Linked DNA regions of Lepisosteus oculatus. The protein of the gene in region 2 purifies or fractionates together with the protein of the main gene of each other region. This does not show direct contact. Links are inferred from orthologs where the notes say so. Each region holds a gene or a part of one and is shown on either strand. Other genes may lie near its edges.

The links. Proteins that work in one complex are often made in the same cells at the same time.
Region 1: the proteins of pfdn4 (region 2) and pfdn5 purify together in Homo sapiens (affinity purification with mass spectrometry; 5 studies listed by BioGRID and IntAct, counting the BioPlex papers as one, with this or other methods). This does not show direct contact. The link is inferred for Lepisosteus oculatus from reciprocal best matches to the Homo sapiens genes PFDN4 and PFDN5.

Annotation. Positions count from the first base shown.
Region 1 is NC_090696.1:20,599,946-20,610,775, forward strand, and holds the start of pfdn5 (prefoldin subunit 5), read right to left. Parts: upstream 5,531-10,830; 5' UTR 5,486-5,530; coding exon 5,420-5,485; intron 362-5,419; coding exon 259-361; intron 1-258. Other genes in the region: espl1 (separin), read right to left, coding at 7,116-7,317, 8,065-8,229, 8,716-8,799, 9,682-9,797, 10,519-10,623. UniProt on the Homo sapiens protein: Binds specifically to cytosolic chaperonin (c-CPN) and transfers target proteins to it. Binds to nascent polypeptide chain and promotes folding in an environment in which there are many competing pathways for nonnative proteins.
Region 2 is NC_090711.1:11,175,673-11,186,802, reverse strand, and holds pfdn4 (prefoldin subunit 4), read left to right. Parts: upstream 1-5,823; 5' UTR 5,824-5,900; coding exon 5,901-5,927; intron 5,928-6,587; coding exon 6,588-6,695; intron 6,696-6,891; coding exon 6,892-7,032; intron 7,033-8,946; coding exon 8,947-9,078; 3' UTR 9,079-9,358; downstream 9,359-11,130. UniProt on the Homo sapiens protein: Binds specifically to cytosolic chaperonin (c-CPN) and transfers target proteins to it. Binds to nascent polypeptide chain and promotes folding in an environment in which there are many competing pathways for nonnative proteins.

The DNA.
Region 1 (10,830 bases), on a different chromosome or scaffold from region 2:
ACCGTGGGAACGAACACATGTGAACATGAGGAGAACATACAAACTCCACACAGATAGGCAACTAGGAGTGGAATCTGGGGCCCCAGTGCTGTAAGGAAGCAGTACAAAGCAGACAGTTACTACAAGGTGGTCTAAACACTAATTGAAATATGTAAAACAACATCCTATTAAAACATGGCTCTGAGCAAAGTGCCATGGAATTTCTTGGCCACATTTTTGCTTGTATCTCTGTCTGCCTCTTCTTCGACAGGTGCTTACCTTCATTGGCCTTATTAAGCACATTTAGACAGTCCTTCGCCTCCACATACTTCGTCTGGACCACCTTCAACTGCCCAATGGAAGAGGTCAGGAACTCGACCTCCTGAGTCACAATACAAAGGAAGATGGTTGTTTAATCAGGTCATGCCATGGCTGTCCAGACCTGGTCCTGGGGGGGTCAATGTGTCTGCAGGGTGTCCAGTCCTGGTCCTGGGTGTCAGTGTGTCTGCAGGGTGTCCAGTCCTGGTCCTGGGTGTCAGTGTTTCTACAGGGTGTCCAGTCCTGGTCCTTGGGGGTCAGTGTGTGTGCAGGGTGTCCAGTAGTGGTCCTGGCGGGGGGAGACGGTCCAGTTCTGGTCCTGAGGAATCACTGTAATCCAGGACCAGGATAGGTACCCCTTGGTTACACCCATCAATTTCACTGTGGCTCATACGTGGTCCTACATGAGCTTGTTATGACATAAGTGAACTGATAACTAAATTAGTCCAGTCTAATCACTTCCCATGTCTTCACCTTTCACTCAGTGATAAAGACCCTGTAGAAATGCAACACAGAAGCTTTACCCCTGTCGAACACTTCAGGCACAAAACATGTTTCCCACTGCTGCACTTTTAAAACTGTTTTAAAATGCTTCGCATAGGTTCTGAAAAGGGAAAGATTAACATGAATATGATTAGTACCCGGGCAGTGCGATTCCTTTTAAGCAGATCGATTCATTGGATTCAGTTCAGTGAACCTCTTCAAAAGATTCGCTCCTCTGATTCCCCAAGTCATTGAAAAGAACAGTGCCACCGAATACCAGAAAAATAACTACTTTATAAGGCTCACTCATTTACTAGGCTAAAGGGAACACAGGAAGAGAAACAAGATCAGACGATTGTGAAAATCCAAGAGAAAATATCCCTCATAGTTTGACAAGTGCTTTGACTTCATCGCCCCACACACAATTGTCTACTGCAAGGTAAAAAGCATCAAAACATAAGTAAAAATAAAATTTTATTATACTGAGTTATAACAGACCTCTCATGGAAGTAGACTGGGTAATATAACAACAGCGTCACAGAAAATGTTGATTTTTATTTACGAACATCTCAAAGGCAAGGCAAGACGAGAACAAGGGAGTGATGGTGGAAAACCAACGAAACAGCAACATCCCACTTGAGTTACCTCCTGCAACGGCCTGTCTGTCTGTACAGTGGCAGAGTCACACGTCACGGGCAGTACCCTCAGTCCAGGTTGGCATTCAAGAACACGATTTCACGCACTTTGGAAGGGCTAAAGTGATTCCTCCTCTCTGCGGCCACCTGCCCGGTCTTGGACCAGCTGCGCCTGCAGGGCGCGCACGCGGTCACGACGCACAGCTTCGCGGCCGTGACCCGGGAGAGCCTCTGATACACCGGCCGGCGGCTGGCCCACCACTGCAAAGGCTCTGCCGTCCGGGCAAGCAGAGGCTCCTCCAGAAAGCTCTTGACCTCCAGCGCGGCCTCCGATGACGGGGTCTGTGCCGAAAGGAGGTGCGACACGCAGTCGTCGAAATCGCGCCAGAACAGCGCCGAACGCGTGGCGGCCGGCGCCTCGCGGTCGCTCTCTCCTGGCGCCTCCACAGCGGCGGGGGCAGCCGCGGCGGCGGCGGCGACGTGCACCTTCCCCGCGGCCGCCGCGACGCTGCTCACGGCCTCCTCCGCCGCTCGCTCGTCTGTGAACGCCCGCCTTTTAAACCGGGGGTCCAGCAGGGACGCCTCGGCCAGCTGCGGCTGCCGCTCGATGTCGTCGAACCTGCGGGACATCGCCGCCTGGAGGGCGTTGAGCATCCGCGCCACCGGGCCGGGAAGACCCGCGTTCCTCGGCCGCGTGGCGGCAATCCTCTGCAGGCCCCTGGCCAAGATGATGACTTTCGAAGCCGACACCGTCTTTTCCGCACTGATTTCAGCCACCGCTTCGTCGAAAGGTTTCAGAATCCCGCACGACTCGGCCACGGTGTCCCATTCTTCCGGAGTCAGAGTGGGCAGGGCGGCGTCGACCAGTGCCAGCATCGAAACAACGGCATCTCTGGCCCTGTGAAACCTAGTCAGCATGCGGTAAGTGGAATTCCATCGTCTGGCAACCTCCTGCTTCAGTTTCAGCTCCTCCATGCCCAGTTGCTTCTGTAGAGACCTAAGTTTTTCAGCTGCTGCAGGACTTCTGCGTACATATTCCACTATTACTTTAACCTTATCTACAGTGGGTCTGATTTCTTGCAGTGCTTCTCTCACCACAAGATCTATGGTGTGGGCAAAGCAAGGCAAGTGATTCCACCCAGTGAGCCTTATCGCTTCGGTCATATTAGCAGCATCATCATCACTGACAACTGCCACAACCTTGTCTTGTATATTCCAGTCCGCAGCAATCCGAAGGAGCTCATCTTTCAGGTTGGCAGCTGTGTGCCCGTCGGCGAATCCAAAGCAGTCAAGAAGGCATGAAGACATCTGGAAGTCGGGGTTTATGAAATGGCTGGTGACTGAAAGGTAGCTGTGCCCATTGTGTGTAACCGATGTCCAGCAGTCTGTGGTTAAACACACAGCTGATGCTCCCTTTACCTTCTCCTGCACTTCAGAAAGGGTTCTTTCATACAGCTGGGGAATGATCGTCCTGGTCAGAGCTTTTCTGTTTGGCAGCACGTAAGAGGGATTGAGCTGATTAATAAAAGCTCTGAAGCCCTTGTCTTGGACAACTGAAAATGGCTGATAATCCATCACTATCATTTTCGCAAGGGCTTCGTTCAGACGGTCCTGCCTCGCGGGCGACACGGCAGAGCTGCTGGCGCTGCTTTGCTCCAGGCTTGCACTGCTCCTGGTGGGGACCAAAGCCCGATGCTCGTCTTCCCTGCTCCGGGTGCTGCTCCCTGCAAGCGCCGAAGCTCCAGCTTCCTCCCTCAGCTGGGATCTGTTTGCGCCCGGCTGCACCAGGGGGTGCTTTGTTTTGAGGTGGCGGAGCAGGTTTGTAGTTGACCCTCCTTTGTAAGACAGCTCGCTGTGACATATGTCGCACTTGGCCGTGCTGCACGTGACCGAAGTGAAATGGCTCCAAATGGAGCTTCGCTTGCGGGTCGCGGCCGTCGTGCTCATCGTCCGAAACGACCACAAAACCGTTACCCAGCACGGCAGGTTTCAGAACGATCCAGCGAGCTCTGCGGCATGAAACAGCAAGACAACATGAGTCGCAAACATCACCAAGAGCCAGTCGTCAGTGCAGTTCAAATGGAAAAAAAAAAGGCTCAAGAGATCGCATCCGAGCGCTGTAGAACCGTCTTGTAAAAAAAAACACAAAGACAAAAATTCTCCAAAAACAGAAGCTACACAAAAGTGGAACCTTTCACCTCAGACCGAAAAGCCCATCAAAGAACAAGAGAGAAATAATGTCTGGTAGACACCTCAAAAAGGTAGTATTCAGATAAGATAAGATCACTTTATTAGCCATATACAATTTCTTGTATTGGGAATTGGTCTTTTTGCTTATCCAAGCTTTCTCTCTGTGAGACACACAGACAGGGAGAGAAGCTTGGGGTCAGAGCACAGGGCCAGCCATTTATACAGCACCCCTGGAGCACCTGGGGTTAAGGGCCTTTCTCAGGGGCCCAACGGAGTAGGATTCCTCTGCCAGCCGCGGGATTTGAACCGGCAACCTTCCAGCCACAGGCACAGATCCTTAGCCGCAGAGCCACCGCTCTGCCCCAATCACACAAGTATAAGACAAACAGTACCTTTCTGAAAGTCAGACTCATCAGTGCTCAAATCACCTGCGAGACCTCTGAGTGCACTTACTCTGAGTGGACAATACAAGAGAGGGCTCAGCAAGGAAGAACGTGTGGTCCTGGGAGTTTTACTTTAGATTGTTTTGAAGGGCTGCCTTTTCACTTTACAATTCTCAGAAAAGACCGAATTACCAACAAATACGATTTAATCATTTAGATATTTTAAAACTTCCTATCAACCATCTACAGCTCCATTGATAAGCTTATAACCACTTAATGCTTACCGTTTTGCACCCAGCATGCAATTTCAAGTTTTTTGTTCTCTGAGCTCTATGTCTGGACCTGAACTGTTCCGCAAAAGGATGGCTTACCCACCTCCCAAATAAGGCTATTTGAAATATTCCATAAAACTCCCAATTTTCAAAAAAAAAATTCTACAACAGTCAATATTGGCTGCTTCAATGATCCTTGAGTGGGAAGGAAGGATGTTGAAAAGACAAATGGAAAACTTATGTGACACTGTATCCAGCAATTCAAACAGTGTACTTTGTCTTGCATTAAAGAAAAGACATACTGGTAGGGGCAATTCATCTAATAATCACATTTTTAAGCCAAAATTGAATTGAAAGTCTTATTTGAGTCACTGTTGATTTCGGATTACTTTAAAATATACATTAACAAAAAAATAAATAAAACTGGTATAATTATGTATCTCCTAGTATGTACATCTAATGTTATTATTATAGGCTGAATTTTTTTAAAAAATCGAATTAATGTAACCATCTGAAATATGCAGCAAAGTATATTCTTCGCGCACTATCACAAACCTCATACACTTCATTAATAAGAGGGTAATTTTATGTTTCACAATGTGCTATTGCTTTATGTTCACTGTTGCTTTATGTTCACCCGAGTTTCGATGTTCCTCCCATACTCACTAAAATCCGAGAGACATCATTTCCTTAGTTGGCTCGATGCTCGATTTGTCTCTCTAAATTGAATGACTTCGTGAATCAAATAAACGAATCAGAACGAATCGTCCGCGAATTGCACACCTCTTAATACGATTTAAAAGAAAAGATTTGGAAACAGCCACGCCACTCTACCGGTTTTCAATGTGAGGGTATTTATAGAGAACGATCACTTATTTAATTACGTTATTCCGGATATGTTATGAAAGAAAATAATTTTAAAGTCTGCTGCTGTTTGTAAAGCGAAAGCTTCACGGTGGTAGTACTCATTTATTTTCTATTAAACACACGCTCAACACACCCAGCTAAGAGAGCACGCCAGCCCCGTGCTGTCTATAACCCAGATTAGCTCACGGGCTGGCTACGCCTTTAATTCGTCTTGCGCATTTTGGAGGGTACTGTTCAAACGTGAGATGTCTCTTCATCTCCCACTCTAAATCTAGCCTAAATCGGTCCTCACCTGCTCCAACTGGCCCTTCAGACCCTCCAGCTGAGGTAATGTCAGCTCTGCAAGATTCACCGCCATATTAGAAGCAAAAGCAATCCCAGCGGCCGCGCCGACTTCCGGCAGAGACAGGAACTTGATGTTGCTTAGTAACAGGCGGTGCGCTTTGTCTGTCTCGTCTCGGTAATAAATGTGAAACCTCAGGAAGGCTACAAACTAGAGGCCAGTTCATTCGGCGGAGCCGGTTTGCATGCTAGCGATTTGCGCATCTCATCCAGTTGTTTCTTGAAAAAAAAAGCCAAGGTTTCAGTTGCAACGACATGAATGCGTAGCTTGTCCCACATTTCCATAGCCCTTTGTGTAAAGGAGCTTGTCAGTTTGGTCCCAGAACAATGTGGACAAACCTGACTACAATTTTCTATTTTTCTGCAAGTGCTGCCAGCATGTGAAGTTGGCTCATTGCAATTATCCTGTATAAGGCATTGAGATAAGGCTTCCACAAACATCAGTGTTGATTTAGGTCACAAATAAAGCTGGAGATAGTAAAACCATCAATTTTCTAATCACTTCATCCAATTCACAGTCACAGGGGAGCCAGAGCCTATCCTGGCAAGGCACAGGTGCATGGTGGGACACACCCTGGTTGGGACTCCAGTCCACTGCAGGGTAGTCACATGCACTCACACCAGGGTCAGTTTTCCCAGAAGCCAATTCACCTGCCAGCATGTCTTTGGACTCTGGGAGGAAACCTGTGTGAACCTGGGGAGACCATGCAAACTCCACACAGACTGCTCCCCAGGAATTGAACTCGGGGCCCCAGCGCTGTGAGGCAACACTGCTAAAAACCCCACCACCACACTGCCCTAATAGAGATCAGTTAAAAGAAAATCAACAGACTGCAACTGTAAAAATAAAAAAATACACATGCTCCTGCATTGATTTAAGAGTGACCTGTTAGACCTCCAGGATAACAGCACTATAGGACAGGGGTGGGGCCAACCAAGGCATAAAGATGGAGACCAGTTTAAACTTCTGTATGGCAGTTTAGTAAAACTATACACTTAACAGAACTTTTTCAAAAGGAGACCAAACCATTGCAAATATTTTCTTTATTACATACTTTAAAAAGGAATGCATACATTGTTCACAACCTTAAAATACATATACACAAAATGGTAGTTAAAAAATAAAAGCAAAAACCATAAACATATACTGGCCTAAATGTCAGGGGATATCCGAGCACACACTTGTAAATATAAATAAATGCACTGGATTTGGCTCTTTTTGGCTTGCTTGAATAAAGGCCAATGGGTTTGCATGAACAGTCTCAGGATAGTGAGAGATCCATAACTTTGTCTTGTCGACAACACTTTCCTTCACTTGGAGACCGTTGTAAAACCCTGGGAGTTTATCCCAGCTCCTGCATAGTCTGGCATTTCTAAATACAGGGAAACAAATATAAATCCCACTGCACAGCCAATTAGTTCCGCTGCAAGTTTAACAAGCTATATTATCTCATAAAAGCAAATGAATAATTAATGGCAGTTTCCAACCCATTTTCAGAACATGCTTAGACAGACGTGGAGATAATAAATTTCAAAATGCAGCTGCGGTTATTGCACTCAAGGACCCCACCCCCAGCTCCAGATAAAACCTGGAGAGATCAAGCGGATGCACAATGCTGGAATGTGGGGAGTTACAAGAAAGGCAGTCAGCGCAGAGACACGGGGAGACCGTACACCACCGGGGCAGCGCCGATGAGGTGTTTCAGCCGCGGCGCCTGGCGGGATGCGGTCATGTGATCCAGGAGGGGCGCCCCGCGACCGGCCCCCAGCCACAGCTGCAGGAGGGTCTTCATGAAGCGGTCGATGTCCCGGTCCGTCACATCCCACAGGTTGCCAAGGACCAGCGGGCTGGGAGAGATGGCAAGAATTGCTCATAACTAACATTTAAATGATGGGGATGGAGATGTACAGATACTGATGGATGCAAGTTACCAGGGAAGATTCCACTGGACAGCGACAGACTAGAAGAGCAATGCTGAGAGCAAGGTGCTGTGAAATGACAGGTGGCGGTACCTTTCCATATCAACATGCTGCAATAGCAGGTATACAAACTTATAAGCTATAACAGCATCACAAACACACAAGGTTACCATGGGCCAATGTGGCATCTTGCTGAAAAATGCCAGGGGCTGCCACCTGTTAACCAGCACCACTCCTTAACATACGATTCATCCATTTTTTAACAGCCTAATCCAATCCAAGCAACAGGTGCACAGCAGGATAAACCCTGGATGGGACACTAGTCCATCACAGGATACGCACACATACCAAGGACACATTTCCCAGGAGCCAGTTAACCTACCAGCATGTCTTTGAATGTGGGAGTAAACCGGAGCACCTGGAGGAACCCATGCAAACACAGGTAGCACAGCAACTCTACACAGATAGCAGCCCAGGTCCATAATTGAACACAAGGCCCGAGCTCAGTGACCCAGCGATACTGACCACTGCGTTGCCGTGCCCCCCTTAAGTTGCCCCACTCTTGACATGACATGAATAGAAATCAAGTCCCACGTGCCCATGTGTTCACAACAATAGCAGGCCACTGCTAGTATTTAAGTACAGCAGCAGCACGGAAGCACGGTGCTCTCTCACCAGCCAGCCATGAGGTAGTTGAGAACGATGCCTGTGCCTTCCAGTTCGCCTCGGACCGCCAGCGCAGCACTGCTGCAGCCGAAGAGGAGGGACACAGCGTGGAAATCCTGCCGCAGGACCGCCGAGCCGTCCAGGAACCGTGCCCCGGCCCCATGTCCCGCGTAACTGCGGAGGAGAGGCAGGTGGTTAGAAAGAGCCCACAGAAGCACACCCAGTGGAGCAGGAACTGCTGCCTCCACTAAGCTATCAGAGATCATTTGGATGGTTCAAACAACCTGTTTCTTAAAATCTTACTCAGCTGCTAACTGAGACGTAGGACTAAAACCTACAGAACTCCAGGCCACTGAGATCAGCAGGTACACTGCCCTGACACTCACACCGGGGCCAGTTTTCCCAGATGCCACCGGTTCGGTGGCATCTGGGAAAACTGGCCCCGGCAGAACCAGCATGTCTTTGGACTGAGAGAGGAAACTGGAGCACATGGAGGAAACTCATACAAACATGGGCAGGACATGCAAACTCCATGAAGATACCAGAGCACCACAGAGAGAGAGAGAATGGGGAGGCAGAGACAGACGGAGACTCGGGAACTGGCTGCTAGCACACACAGAAATGCAGAAGGGTGCAGACTGCCACACCAGTGATACTCACACATAGAGGTCCTGGGTGGAGAGGGCCTCTTGCACCTGCTCGGGGGTCGGGGCTCGGCCACACACACCCTGCCAGCCCTCCTCACTGCAGAGAAGGTCCAGGCCACCAGTCAGGAGGGGGGACGGGGCAAGAGGCACACCGGTGGAGAGAAGAGAAAAGCAAGGTGAGAAAAAACGAGAGCTAATTAAACAATTCTGTGCACCATCTCCCTTTTCTTGTCTTTGCACAAGCTGTTTTTGTTTTTACACTTGCTGTCACAGATCGGATCCAGCCCAGTGGTCAGGGCTCTAATCTTAGCTGGAAGGTGGCGGGTTCGAATGCTGATGTCGTGCAGTCATACTTTTAAGGGAGCTGAATCACATGTTGCTCCAGTAAGACGCCCTGAGGAGTCCAGCTCCAAGTCCAGCCATCCATTTTCTAACCACTGCCTTCAACTGAGGATCGCAGGGAAGCCAGAGCATATTCCACAAAGCAGTGGGCGCAAGGCAGAGTACACCCTGAACAGGACCCCAGTCCATCGCAGGGCATACAGACACACTCGCACCCGGGCCAATTTTCCCAGAAGCCAATTAACCTCCCAGGATGTCTCTGGACTGAGAGGAAACTGGAGCACCTGGAGCAAACCCACACAAACAGGGGGAGGGACATGCAAACTCCATGAAGATAGCACAAGGAGTCCGGAATGTAATGGAGCAGCAATCCTAACCACAGCTACACTGTGCCACCCTCCCAGCTCCAAGTCATTTTAGAAAAATGTCAGCCTAAATAAATGCTAGAAAACTGCACACATTAAGCCCTAATAGGCCTTCCCACAGTATAGTATGGGCCTGCTCCATTGAGCAGGCCACTAAAATTGCTCAAGTGGGACCTGTGCATTCATAACAGGTCGCACGCCAACAGGGTCACATGGGCAGAGCCTGCTGGCGCTGGAGCCCGCGGGTGTGCGCGCCTGCGGCAGGCTCTCACCTGGTGAACCAGTCCCGGAAGCGCTCCTCGGTGCCCAGCAGGTTGGCCTGTGGGTTCAACACGTAGAACGTGCGCCGTGGGTCCACACCCTGGTTCAGAACCGAGCGTGGGTCCAGCTGGGCAGGGAGAGAGAAGCAGTGAGTGTGGGCCGCTACAGCAGGCCGCTAAAAAAAGCCTAGTGCCACCACCTGCAAAGTTCCCCTGACTCTGCGAGCTAGTGAGTGCAGAAAAAACACTCCAAAGATGCAGCACCCAGAAGTTCTCGTATCAGTCTCTGCAAATCCAACACTGATTAATAGTACTGCACAAGACATTTGGATAACGCAAAGCCAACATTCCTAGTGTAGAAAGACGATCATTCTTTCATCAGCAGTTTATATTCCACAGGCACTTACTTTTATCTGCGAGAGACACACAAGTATTTTAAAGACTAAACTACAGCAAAATACACAATTTGACAAACTGCTTTGGTCTGTAATGAAAAAGAACTTGACCTGCAAGAATCTCATGGGCTTCTTGTTCATTATCCTTCCCACTTAAAGTACAAGGGTTTTCTCTGACAGAGCAGTGGCAACATGCTTGCTTCTTTATGACCATATTTCATAAAAAAGAAATGATGTAACTCATTCTGGCCCTTTGGAAGTTTTTCCTTCTGAATGATTTTGCCAGAGAGGCCCTCACCTCTCCAAGGGTGTGTGTGTGTGTGTGTGTGTGTGTGTGTGTGTGTGTGTGTGTGTGTGTGTGTGTGTGTCGCTCACCTCTCTCAGGATGCTGGGCGTGTGTGTGCGTGCGGATCGCTCACCTCTCTCAAGGCGTGTGTGTGTGTGGAACACTCACCTCTCTCAGGGCGCAGTGTCCCAGCAGGAAGTGCAGAGAGGGCAGCCGGGTGACAGCGCGGGCTCTCAGACAGGGCACACTCTCCCAGGGGAGCTTCTGCAGGTGCTGCACATACCAGCACACAGCAAAGATGAGGGCACACATTGTCTTCCCACAGACTCGCATTTTATTCGGGATGTCTACATTGCAATGGCATGTGTATATCATCTTTAGATTCTGTCCCCACATTTATAGCAATACATGTCCAAAATGCCAAAGTAGAACTCCATGCAATGGAGTGATCAGCAGCTTGAGTCCCCAACACTGGGGTTT
Region 2 (11,130 bases):
TTTTGAAGGCTTCCAAGCAAGTCCCTACTCATGCAGTGTAGAAAAAAAAAAGCCCTCATGTGTGGAAAAATATTGTGGGAGGCCTTGAAAGACAACTGTACCACAGCGTGAGTGAACTGCGAGATATGGAGAAAGTAGAATGATTTGGAATTCACTGGACAAATAGAAGGAATGAGCAGACATTGATACCAAGCAGGTGATGTCTTGTTGTGTGTGCAAACAACATCTCTGCAACATGTTCAATTTTAGTGTGATGAAATCTGCCAGGTTTCGGTTCAATTAGTGCAGTGCTTCACAAGACAATAGTAACCTGGATTTTCCAAATAAAATCGCATTTAAAGGAATTAATGCAGGAACACCATTTTGTAATATGTACAGTATATACAGTAGTATTGTTATGAAAATGTTAGCTACCAAAATTGGAGTTTATTGTCCAAACATGAAAAAAGAGTAGTTAAGAGGCAAGATTGCACCCATCATTTAGTAGTCCCTATTTATCTGGAATAAATAATCACATCAGATCAGCTTGGGAGGTGCAAATCAGAAGCAGTTTGCTTGTTCACGATATCAGCCAAGATTCAACAAAATGATGGAAATGAGGACGATCTGGTGGTGTCTCGGCCTAACAAGATCTGACCACGTCCTCAATGACGATGTCCACCGACGCATGGGAGTGGCACCGATAACGGAGAAGATGCGAGAAGGAAGACTGCGATGGTGTGGACATGTGATGAGAAGTGGGGAGCACACGGTGGCACGGACTGCGATGCGACTGAGCCCGCGAGGTCGGCCCAAGAAGGGGTGGGTGGATCGGATCACTGAAGACATGCGGGAAGTGAACGTCGCCTCGGGGCACACTATGACCGCGCCAAATGGAGACGGGCGTGCCGACAAGCGGACCCTGCCGATGTGGGATTAATGCTAGGATGAAGAAGGTGCAGCAGTTTCCAAGACGGAGGCAAACTGAGTTATTAGAAGAAAATGGCAGGTGGCCATCCTGTTTCTTGCAGAATTATGAGTGTGTCAGAATGATGCAAAATTGATTTTAACTACAATGCTACTTACTAAGATTTTGATAGATTTAGATTATTTTGTTGTGCTAGAGTGAAGATGGCTGGTTATCTTTTAACCCTAGGTCCCTACCTTGTTACCACAAAGGAGGTGCTGTCCAGGTTGTCTATAGTTCTGAATCGAATGCATAAAATGCCAGAATTCTTCCATGATTATCTTTGTCTAGGCATGGAGTTCAAACTTAGTGGCTGCTTTGTACTTGTTGCAGAATCCTTGTGGTGATACTGTTCATTGTTTACAGGAGTGAGTCTTGATTTAGAGACAGCTACTGTAAGTGAAACATATTCTAGGATGTATTGATATGTGATCATGTGTAATCAAGAACTTCACCATTAAAAATAAGGTATTCAAGAGTTTGTGTGGTAGTAAAAGCACTATACTGCAGGAAGAGGTATACTTGCATAAAGTGATCTTCCCCCTCACAGCACCCCGCAGAGTTTCCCAATAGTCTTTACTTTGGACAATTGCCTGGATAGAGGAAATATTTCATCCTGTGTCATTCACCTGAGCTGAGGCTTCAGTTCAACTCAAGAGACACGTGATGAAGGGAGCTCCAATTAAAAATCTAATCTTGCTATCTAACAAAAATTGAAAACTTGCAAACATTTGGAACCTTTCAATTTCATTTCAAAGTTTCATTTGGCTAAGGGCATGCAACAAAAGTGCAACAACATGTAATTTATATTAAATGACAACTTTCTGTCTGAGAGCTTTATACTTTCGAAGTCTGAGGGCTGTGGGTGGAGGAGTCAGGGTTAAGGTAGACTTTGGAGCACATCTGTAATTTCTGCAGTCAGAGATTCATTAAAAGAGCTGCATAAAATGTTTTTGTTATCATTATTACTTGAGTTAAAGAAGAAGAACCTTCACTTATTTTTAAGTGGTTTTAAAAGTTTTAATGTTCATATAGAGAACGATACTTATGCAAAACACCTCTTTTAAACAATACCTTAAGAAAAAGAATAGACACTGCAGAAGACATTTTATTACTATATATTTAAAAATATATATTTTCAATTAAACCTGAGTGACGCATGTGTGTTGTATCCCTTTTCTAAGAATTCTAGAAAATGATTTGCCCTCATTCATGAATTCAACAAATTTGTATCCTCTTTTATTTGCACGGTAGCAATCTAAACAGTATATTCAAGGTTAATCTATTATGTCAACATGAAGACTGATAGCCTTGTGCCAGATCAGTTCAAAATGTATTTTTTTCTCTTTTTTGGTTATTATTTAATAGATGTTCATTCAGGACATTCAAATGGCAATGAGTTCTTCAGTTCTTTTACGCCACTGGCAGCTTATGTCAATGATTATAAGATAAGACCATTATCACTCTAAGATCCAAAAGTCATGTAAAATTGATTTTCTTCTGATATGGGTTACACATTAACTCTCATGTGATTTAACTAAAATAATGATGTGCCTGGTAAAATAGATCCAGCCTGGATTTAAGGACCCACAATCTGAATTTGTTAGTATATACCTGTATATATTTAATTGCTGCCAATGTAGGCGTACTCATCAGAAAACAGGAAATAGCTGTGCAGTGTTATAGAAGATGTGGATAAGCAGTGGCAGACCAGTTTATCTGTGTATATATATGAGCACTGTAGCCAAATCTTAGTATTTATTATCATTATTACTTTACTTAACAAGATCCATCCATTCATTTTCTAACTGCTTCATGCGATTCGGGGGGGGGCAAGGGAACTGAAGCCTATCCCAGCAAGCAATGGGCACAAAGCAGGGTACTCCATGGAAGGGGTGCCAGTCTATCCCAAGGCACAGACAGACACAACCAAATACCCTACCAAACTGGAGCACCTGGAGGAAACCAACACTAATGCAGAGAGAACATAGAAACTCCATGTTGACAGCATCCCAGGAATTGAACCCCAGCACTCTGAGGCAGCAACGCCAATCACTGCATCACCTACTGATTCTACAAATTCTAATTTACATAGACAACTAACTGGCTAGGCAGGGTACACTACTGTGATGGTAAAAAGAACAATAAAAGACAGCAAAAGAAGAAAAAGATGACATTCCTTTTGCTGTCATATTGTTTATTGGGATAGTGCCTTCATCCACCTTTAAGAACATAGAGAATATATTTAAGACTTTACTTTGCCTAAACACACCCTACAATAGTTTCAGGTGTTAAAACAGGTATGAACTGCTTACTTATGGGACTACCGCTAAAACATAATTACTATGAAAATGATAGCGTCTTAATTTAAGAGATCCTTTTGCATTGTTTTGCACTACCTATTCATGCACAAATAATAGATGCATCTGAATTTGTTTTGGGCACAGACAGCATAAAGGAAAAATAACATTCTTGGGCACTGCCTAGAGAACTATATTATTCATAGGTGTGGTCCATCCAGTCCACACTTGTGAAAATGGTTTAGCTCTGGTATGACTCATGATTCCTGAGGACAAAAGCTGAAACGTGTCAGGCCAGTTCTTGCTGTGGGACAGAAAGTTTCTCACAAGGTATGTATGACTCTGGTACATCACTACATCACTAAAGCAGCAGGAAATCTGGAAAAAGTGTCAATTCAGACAGCCTCAGGGGTTGACATTACTGACATGTCAACCCAAATTATCCCATTGGGTCACATTATGGGGGGTCCACCCCTACCCACATCTCATGCAAAGCTACATAAGGCTCTGCTATGAGTTTTTTGCAGATGATGTACAGTATAAAGTAAACTTGCATCACGGCAAATACGTGGACAGACAAATATTTGAATAGAAGGTCAAATTTGTAGAAAGACCAGAAAATATGTGGAACTCCTGTTCACCGTGTACAGACAAGAGCCCCACATTAAGTCATCATTTGCAAAAGTAACATTTTACTTTTTTCAATTTAGGTCAATTTTTTAATTTGGTCAATTTAGTCATTTGTTTTCATGTTCAAGCACATGCAGTATATAGACATGATACGTTTTTACACATTTTAGTGAAGTTGGTTAACATTAGCAGTAATGTAATAATAATCAGAGATCATATTAGTAAAGACTATCTGATTATTATTAACTGATCAATTATTAATGATCAGTGAAAAGCCCTTCAAGATAACATCAGAAGTTACACTCATATCCTCACCTATCAATTGCACCACTGAATGAGGACAAGCAATTGCTTTGCCCATCATGTTCAGGAAGTACTTGAGCTCAGTGTGAACTGAGTTCAAATTCATTCAATTCCTCTTGAGCAGAATCATCCATTACATTACAACAGTTTGTGCAACCTGAGGTTTCTATGACAGCAATAGTTAGGTCTTCAGGTCAATAACACATTTAGGATCAGTAGCTGTGCCATTTAAAAAATTCCTTCAGGCACAGGTGTTTCGTTAATCATTCATTCTACATTCTCTGAAAGTTAATCATTTTTGTACATTCCTCAACTTAAACTTTAAACTAAAAAAGAAAAAAAAACTCGATATTGCTCTTAAATTTATTATAATTATAAAACCAGAAAAAATATTATATTAATCCTGCCTGTTTCAGCATTTCTTTTTGTTTCCTCTAATGTTTAAAACCCATCAAACACAGAAAGGACATTTTTTAAATTAATCAGCTGTGATAAACGGCGTTCATAAAGGCTGAAGATTCATAAACATGAAGTGTTCAGATACATAACATGCAGTGCAAGAGTTTGACTAATATATTTCATGTGAATACATATTTCTTTTAGTCTGTCAATGAAGAACATTCCTTTTCTCTTCTTTGTCTTTGAGCACATTTTGGTCACAAGGTGACAAACTGACAGTATTGTAAATGCCATCTTAATTCTGCAACTTCAAATTGTAATATCCATTGATTTAGAAGTGATGCCTTTTTGCTTACATTTTATTTGCTTTTTTCATTGTTTTCCTACATTCCTATACTGTCTGTCTCGAAGATGAAAATGCTGTCAGGATGAACTGGTAAGGTTTTCTAAGGTCGCCTGTTCAAGCTCAGCATTTCCCATTTTATAGTTAGTTTATAGTAATAGTTTTTATGTTTATGTTTTTGCTACCTGCATGAAACTCTCGGCACATATCTAAATAAGATATAATCTGTTAGCTGTTTTCGCTAGTCTTTCCTCTAAATCTTTATGAATTTAGTTCGCAGACTGCGTGCTCGTCACTTCTGTATCATATGCGTGTGCGACTAGTTTGCTAACTGTAACAGAATATAGATCATAAATATAAATCACAAAGAACAGCGGCTGTGTCCTATAAAAAACCGTATCCTATTAAACACTGTTCCATTATTGACATTTCTTATTCGCGTTAATTAGTATTGCTAGTAACGACAGCAAGAGTTAAGCATGCAACATGACGTTATAACTACCAAGTATTAGTTGGAAAAGAAATTAAGATAAAATACAAAATCCTTGACTAATATAGCATTCAATATTCGGAATGGAGGGAGAAACAATTATATGTTAAAAATCCCTTTTATGACTGTTTTAAAAAGTAATTATTCCAGTATTAAGAAGATAATTAAATGATTTTGTGACACGTCTGCCACCTGCAGGACATTAGAAGTATTACCGTAAAACTCCTTTTTATCGGCCAAACTTTTAAACTTCCATGCGTTCTTTGAGTGCGTCCCTTTAAACGGAACCTACCACTTGTTTAAATAAATTATATACATCCAGAAACCGATATGTGAGCTACACATAAAATCATTGTGCATTGTACTTAATTGTATTAATATTTTAAAGTAAAAAATGAGAACCCGCACGTCAATGAAAACGCTGTAAATCAAAACAAATACTCCAGAAGGTATAATTCTCCACGTGAATGAATAGATTCGTCCATAAAAATGGCAGCGACCATGAAGAAGTCTGTTGTAAGTAATTCTTAACAGGTTTTAGATTTTATTAATCTTTTTGTCGGTCTTGCTGGGTAGGCATGTATTATGTGTAATCTGGAAATTAAAGCTGGTAAAGCAGTTCTATTAGCGTGTGCACTAATTAAGTCCATCTTCGTTATAGACTGTTATGGGTGTGGTGGTTAATATCGGTGAGCTTTTGATCTGTTGTTGGTTTCAGACAGTAATATATAGTTATATATTGCATTCCATAAAGCTCTTTAGTAATTTATTATTAAGAATACAATCCTAAACGCCGTTAGTAAACGACAGCTGCATTTCACATAAGCAAGAGACGAAAATGGGTGGTATTAAGTAAAAATAATACGCAAACGCTTTAAATGGAATGAATGAGGTTTAAATTTCTGAAGTTGCAAGTACAATCTCTATATCGTTGGATAATTATCTTTGAAACTATTCTTATTATTAACAAAAATAATTTGAGCACGCAGTATGTGACCATTGGATTTTTGTAAATGACTACAGCTGAGGACCAGGTCTGAGAGTCAGTACCCGGGGATTTTTCAAGAAATTACCGAATGAGATACTCTGATCAGTACAGGGTAGCTACTACAAGCACCAACGAGCTAAGTGGGCCCACTTGCTTTCTTTTCTTTACATTTTTTCATATCTTTATAGGCAGTAGAAGACGTGAACGTCACCTTTGAAGACCAACAGAAGATTAACAAATTTGCTAGAAACACAAACCGGATGACTGAACTCAAAGAAGAAATAGAAGCAAAGAAGGTATATTTATAATTGGCAAGTGCACATTAGCGCATTTAATTGAAGGCTATTAAAACTATCTGAGCTTGGAAGAAAACTATTCTAAAATACCAGTAGCAATCACAAACAACAACAACAACAAAAAAAGGTTTGCCTTGTTGTTGGGCAGATCTCCTCAGTTATGTATTCCATGATGACGTTTGCCTCTCTTCTTCAGAAATCTCTTCAGAACTTGGAGGACGCCAGTGATGACATCATGATGTTTGATGATGACACCTTACTAATTCCGTATCAGATTGGTGATGTCTTCATTAGCCACACCCAGGAGGAAACACAGGATATGTTAGATACTGGGAAGGTAGGCCTAGCTTTGTGAAGTTCATTCTAATCCATGGTTAGTAAACAGCTGTAAGAGTCTTACTGCTCTAGGGTCCTGGGTTGGTTTCTGGACTGAGGTGAATTCTCTGTTCTTGCTCTGTTTGATGGATGGATGGATGGAGTAAAAAGCAAACTGTTGTCTCATATAATTTTACAGATTCCATAAGTTACATTACTGAAAGCACATTTTATTGCTTATCTTCTGCAGAGGGTGTGTTTTGTAGAGCAGCGTGGCGGTTTTTATCTTTCCTGTAACAGTCTTCTTTCTGAAGAGCTCAATAACACTGATCGCTTTGTTCCTTTTTAACGAGTTCTCACTTCTGAGTAAGTCTTACCCTGTGATCAGTTAACAGTCAGCTGGAAAAAGCTGTCGTAATGCTCATCAATATAGTATGTTTGATCTGCTCTCTTAAAACATGACCCTTCAGAATCAGTTCTCAACTTTATTTGTACTGAAATGCTATGAAAAGAAACCTAAAACAGCTGTAGACTCACCTAATTATCTTAATAGATGCAAAAAAATGGAATGTGAAAATTTGAATTGTTTCACAGCAGTAAATGAAGTTATTAAGGAAAAATAACACATAATTTTTAATTTAACATATAGTAAATAAACACAAAGGTGATATTTTCAGAGTTTCCTGCAAGGAATGTGTGAGATTTTCTGCTGAAATCTTGCAGGTGCATACTATTTGCATTGATGGTTTCTTTTAATTTTTGTACAAAAACACATTGGTTAATTAATGAAGTTGTGAGTCTCTATAGCAGTTTCTAAATTTTATGTTACTTTGTTTTTTTTAATCAACTTTGACTTGATGTAAATACTTGAGGTCTGAGAATTGTGAGATTCTGTACCATTGCAGCTACTGGCAGATAAATGATCTTGCGGTGTATCATTATGAAACAGTATCTCAGTATGGATTCTTGTGTATATTATGTCTGCATTTTTTGGCCAGACGGTCCGTCTGGTCTGTATACAATAATAGAGAATAGTATTACTCCAGAAATTATGTCGAGCCAAGATCCCAGATTCCTCTTTGCTTATTTAACCATGTTTCAGTGTACAGTTTCAAGCTTACTTGTAACTTTTATGTGACTATGAAATATACCTTATCAGAAGTTTTCAGCTGTCCATTGATATTTTGTACCATCAATTGACACCCTATTCATATCAATTTCTACCTCCTATACTTAAGCTGTTGAAGCTTTCCAAGTTTGGGGATAGCTGAACTGACATCAAGATTGTTAAAATTAATGCATATTCATACTGGTATGAATGATCATTTACTTTAATAGAAGAAAACTATTTAGTAGTGTGGTTTCCTACACTTACTTTAACAGAATAAGAAACCATAAAATATAAATTATTTTCCTTTGCCACTCTCAAAATATAAGTTTGAAAATTAAACTCTGATGTACTCTAACCTGAGGAAAGCTGGAAATGTGAAAGTAGTTTTCCCACAAACAACTCCGACAAGACAACTCTGACTTAGAAATAAATGTAGATTACTTTTGTATATTGTATAAATTACCTATTGTTGTTATATACTGTTGTACCTGTGAGGAACTCTGTGTGTGTTGGCTGTGAAGGACCAGGTTAATTTCACGATGGAAAAACTAGAAAAGAGAAACCAAACATTTTGGCTGAAGAGTCAGGTATTTGTAGATACTTTATATACTTTGTACTGTGTACTATATACTATAAAGTATATACAGTATTTTTGTATGTTGATTCAGTATGAAGTGCAAAATTAAGGATTATTTATTTCCACAAAGAAAATCAAGTATTTTCTGTAAAGGGTGTGTTTTCTTGCTCCACAAGTCTTTAACTGGAATGGTAGATGGGCTCTGCTTGTTTACTTAGTAACAATGGTGTTCATATTTTCATCCTTAGGAACTGCTTAAAGAAGAAATCAAAGCATTGGAGGGCCGGGTAGCATCAATTCAGCAAATACTGTCTGATCTCAAAGTTCAACTCTACGCCAAGTTTGGAAATAACATAAACCTGGAAGCTGACGACAGCTGAAGCCCCTGTTCTGTGCTTGAGAGAGATGAACTTTTCATGCAGATAACACATCAAAATCCCCAGAATTCCTATGACACAGAGAGTTTATAGAACTTTTTTTTAATGGTCCTCTTCAAAATGCATACGTAGATGTTTTCTTTTTTCTAGAAAATAACATTTGCTTATTTATTGTTTTTGCATGAAAACAGGAGAAATCACAGAGTGGTAGAGCTTACAGCATTCGTTGACAGTGTATTTGTTTGCAAAACACACAATCTCAATAAAAGCCAATGTATAGTGATGTGTTTTTTGGATTTTAGCATATTTTCACTGTCTCTGCTTTCATCGTGGCCATCAAATAGAATAATAAAAGCCCAGGTTCAAAGAAAGTTTACCATAAAAGACCAGTTAAATTCCATAAAGTCCGTAATCTTAGTAGAAAAACCCTTTGTAGCGTTTTCAGTAGCTGAGAATCTGAATTGAAACTACAAAGGAACTGTATTTCATTCAAATTATGATGATTATGGTGTTTTCAAAAACTTGGTAAAATACTAAATAAAGTAACATTAACATTAAATTCAAAGAAAAAAGAATTGCAGGATGAACTATTGGAGAGACAAGCCTTACATGTATTTTGTTGGAAAATTTTACACAGAGGTAAAAAGGGTAATGTGAGAAGGCAGGAAAGGTATAAACAATGACGGTCTAAGGTAAATTGTAATGTTTTTCTAAGGGCTATATTTACAATCTTATTCTATGAATACATTTTTGTGAGACAACATTTCTGAGAGAGCAGTAACAAAAGTGTGAATTTTTCAGCGTTGGGCGAATGGTACTGTAAATGTAATTGAGGTTTTGTGAGTCATTAATCTTAATGGATTTAGCTCTTTCGTATGTTTAACATGCCTGCACATAAAACCCACAAGTAAAATAACAAATGGATTGAAAACCCATGTAAAACCAGCCCCCCTTTGACAAGGATAATTCCAGCAGCTGTGCAATATACTTGGTGAACCATGGTAATACAAATATTTGTATACACTTTCCTTTGTTTAACAGTCATAGATGCATCAATGCTTCATGTAGGAGATTTAAGGCAAAAGTTTCAGTGTTGCCTTCAAAGTGGATTTGTCTTCTTTTTTCAGAAGAAGTAGACCTGTTGGGTCAGACCCATAGGGAAAGTGACCTTGTGTTCTAATTAGCTGCAAAGTGGTGATCACTTTTCTCCTACATTTTGATAGTCCTTCTAGCTGAGTATGTGTAATTTCTGGATGTGGCAGCAACTGACAAAAGTCCCGTATTGCAAAATGTACCAAATGGATCAACTGGTTTGTAACCTTTCTGTCAACAGTACTGTCACTGGCATAGCAAACTCTTGATGCAATAACGGCAGTAATTTCCATAAACATTTAAAATTTAAGTATAATCCCATGCTTCAGTTTAAACAGGAAATCATTTAGTAACGTATATTAATGGGTACACTGCATAAAATATACAAATGAGGGGAAGGTAGCCATTTCAACATTTCTTTGACAACAAGGCTGGGCAACGTCTGCAATACTTTGTGCACAAAAGGGCCCCTGTTCTCGGTTTTAAACGCACTTTCCCATATTTTCTTTTTATCCTCTGGTTTGTGTTTCAGTACCGGTTCTGTGGTTCTTCTGGGTTGATGCTGTCAGGGACTGTGAATGAGGGCCACTCATAATTTTCTCTGGTCAAGACTAAAAACGATTCAGTTTAGAATATTCCTTTGAGCCCAGGAATGTACCTGGACTAATTGAAGACCCAGTTTAGCCAAGACCATTGCCACTGACAGCCGTATGATATTGCTGAATGATATTCATCATTTAATAGTGATAGATTGCTATTTAGTTTTTAAGGTTGGAGAAAGGGCTCTCTATGCTCTTAGACCTTTTCTTAGCTGGACACTGTATTGTTTATTTTGCTAATCTTTCAGTAAAACAGAGTTTCATTTACAAAGTTGTCAGACATCACTATAGTACAATCTTGTGCTTACTCATAAAGGAACTTTCTGAAGCTTAGTACTTTTTCCTGGGCAAGATAAACATAAGT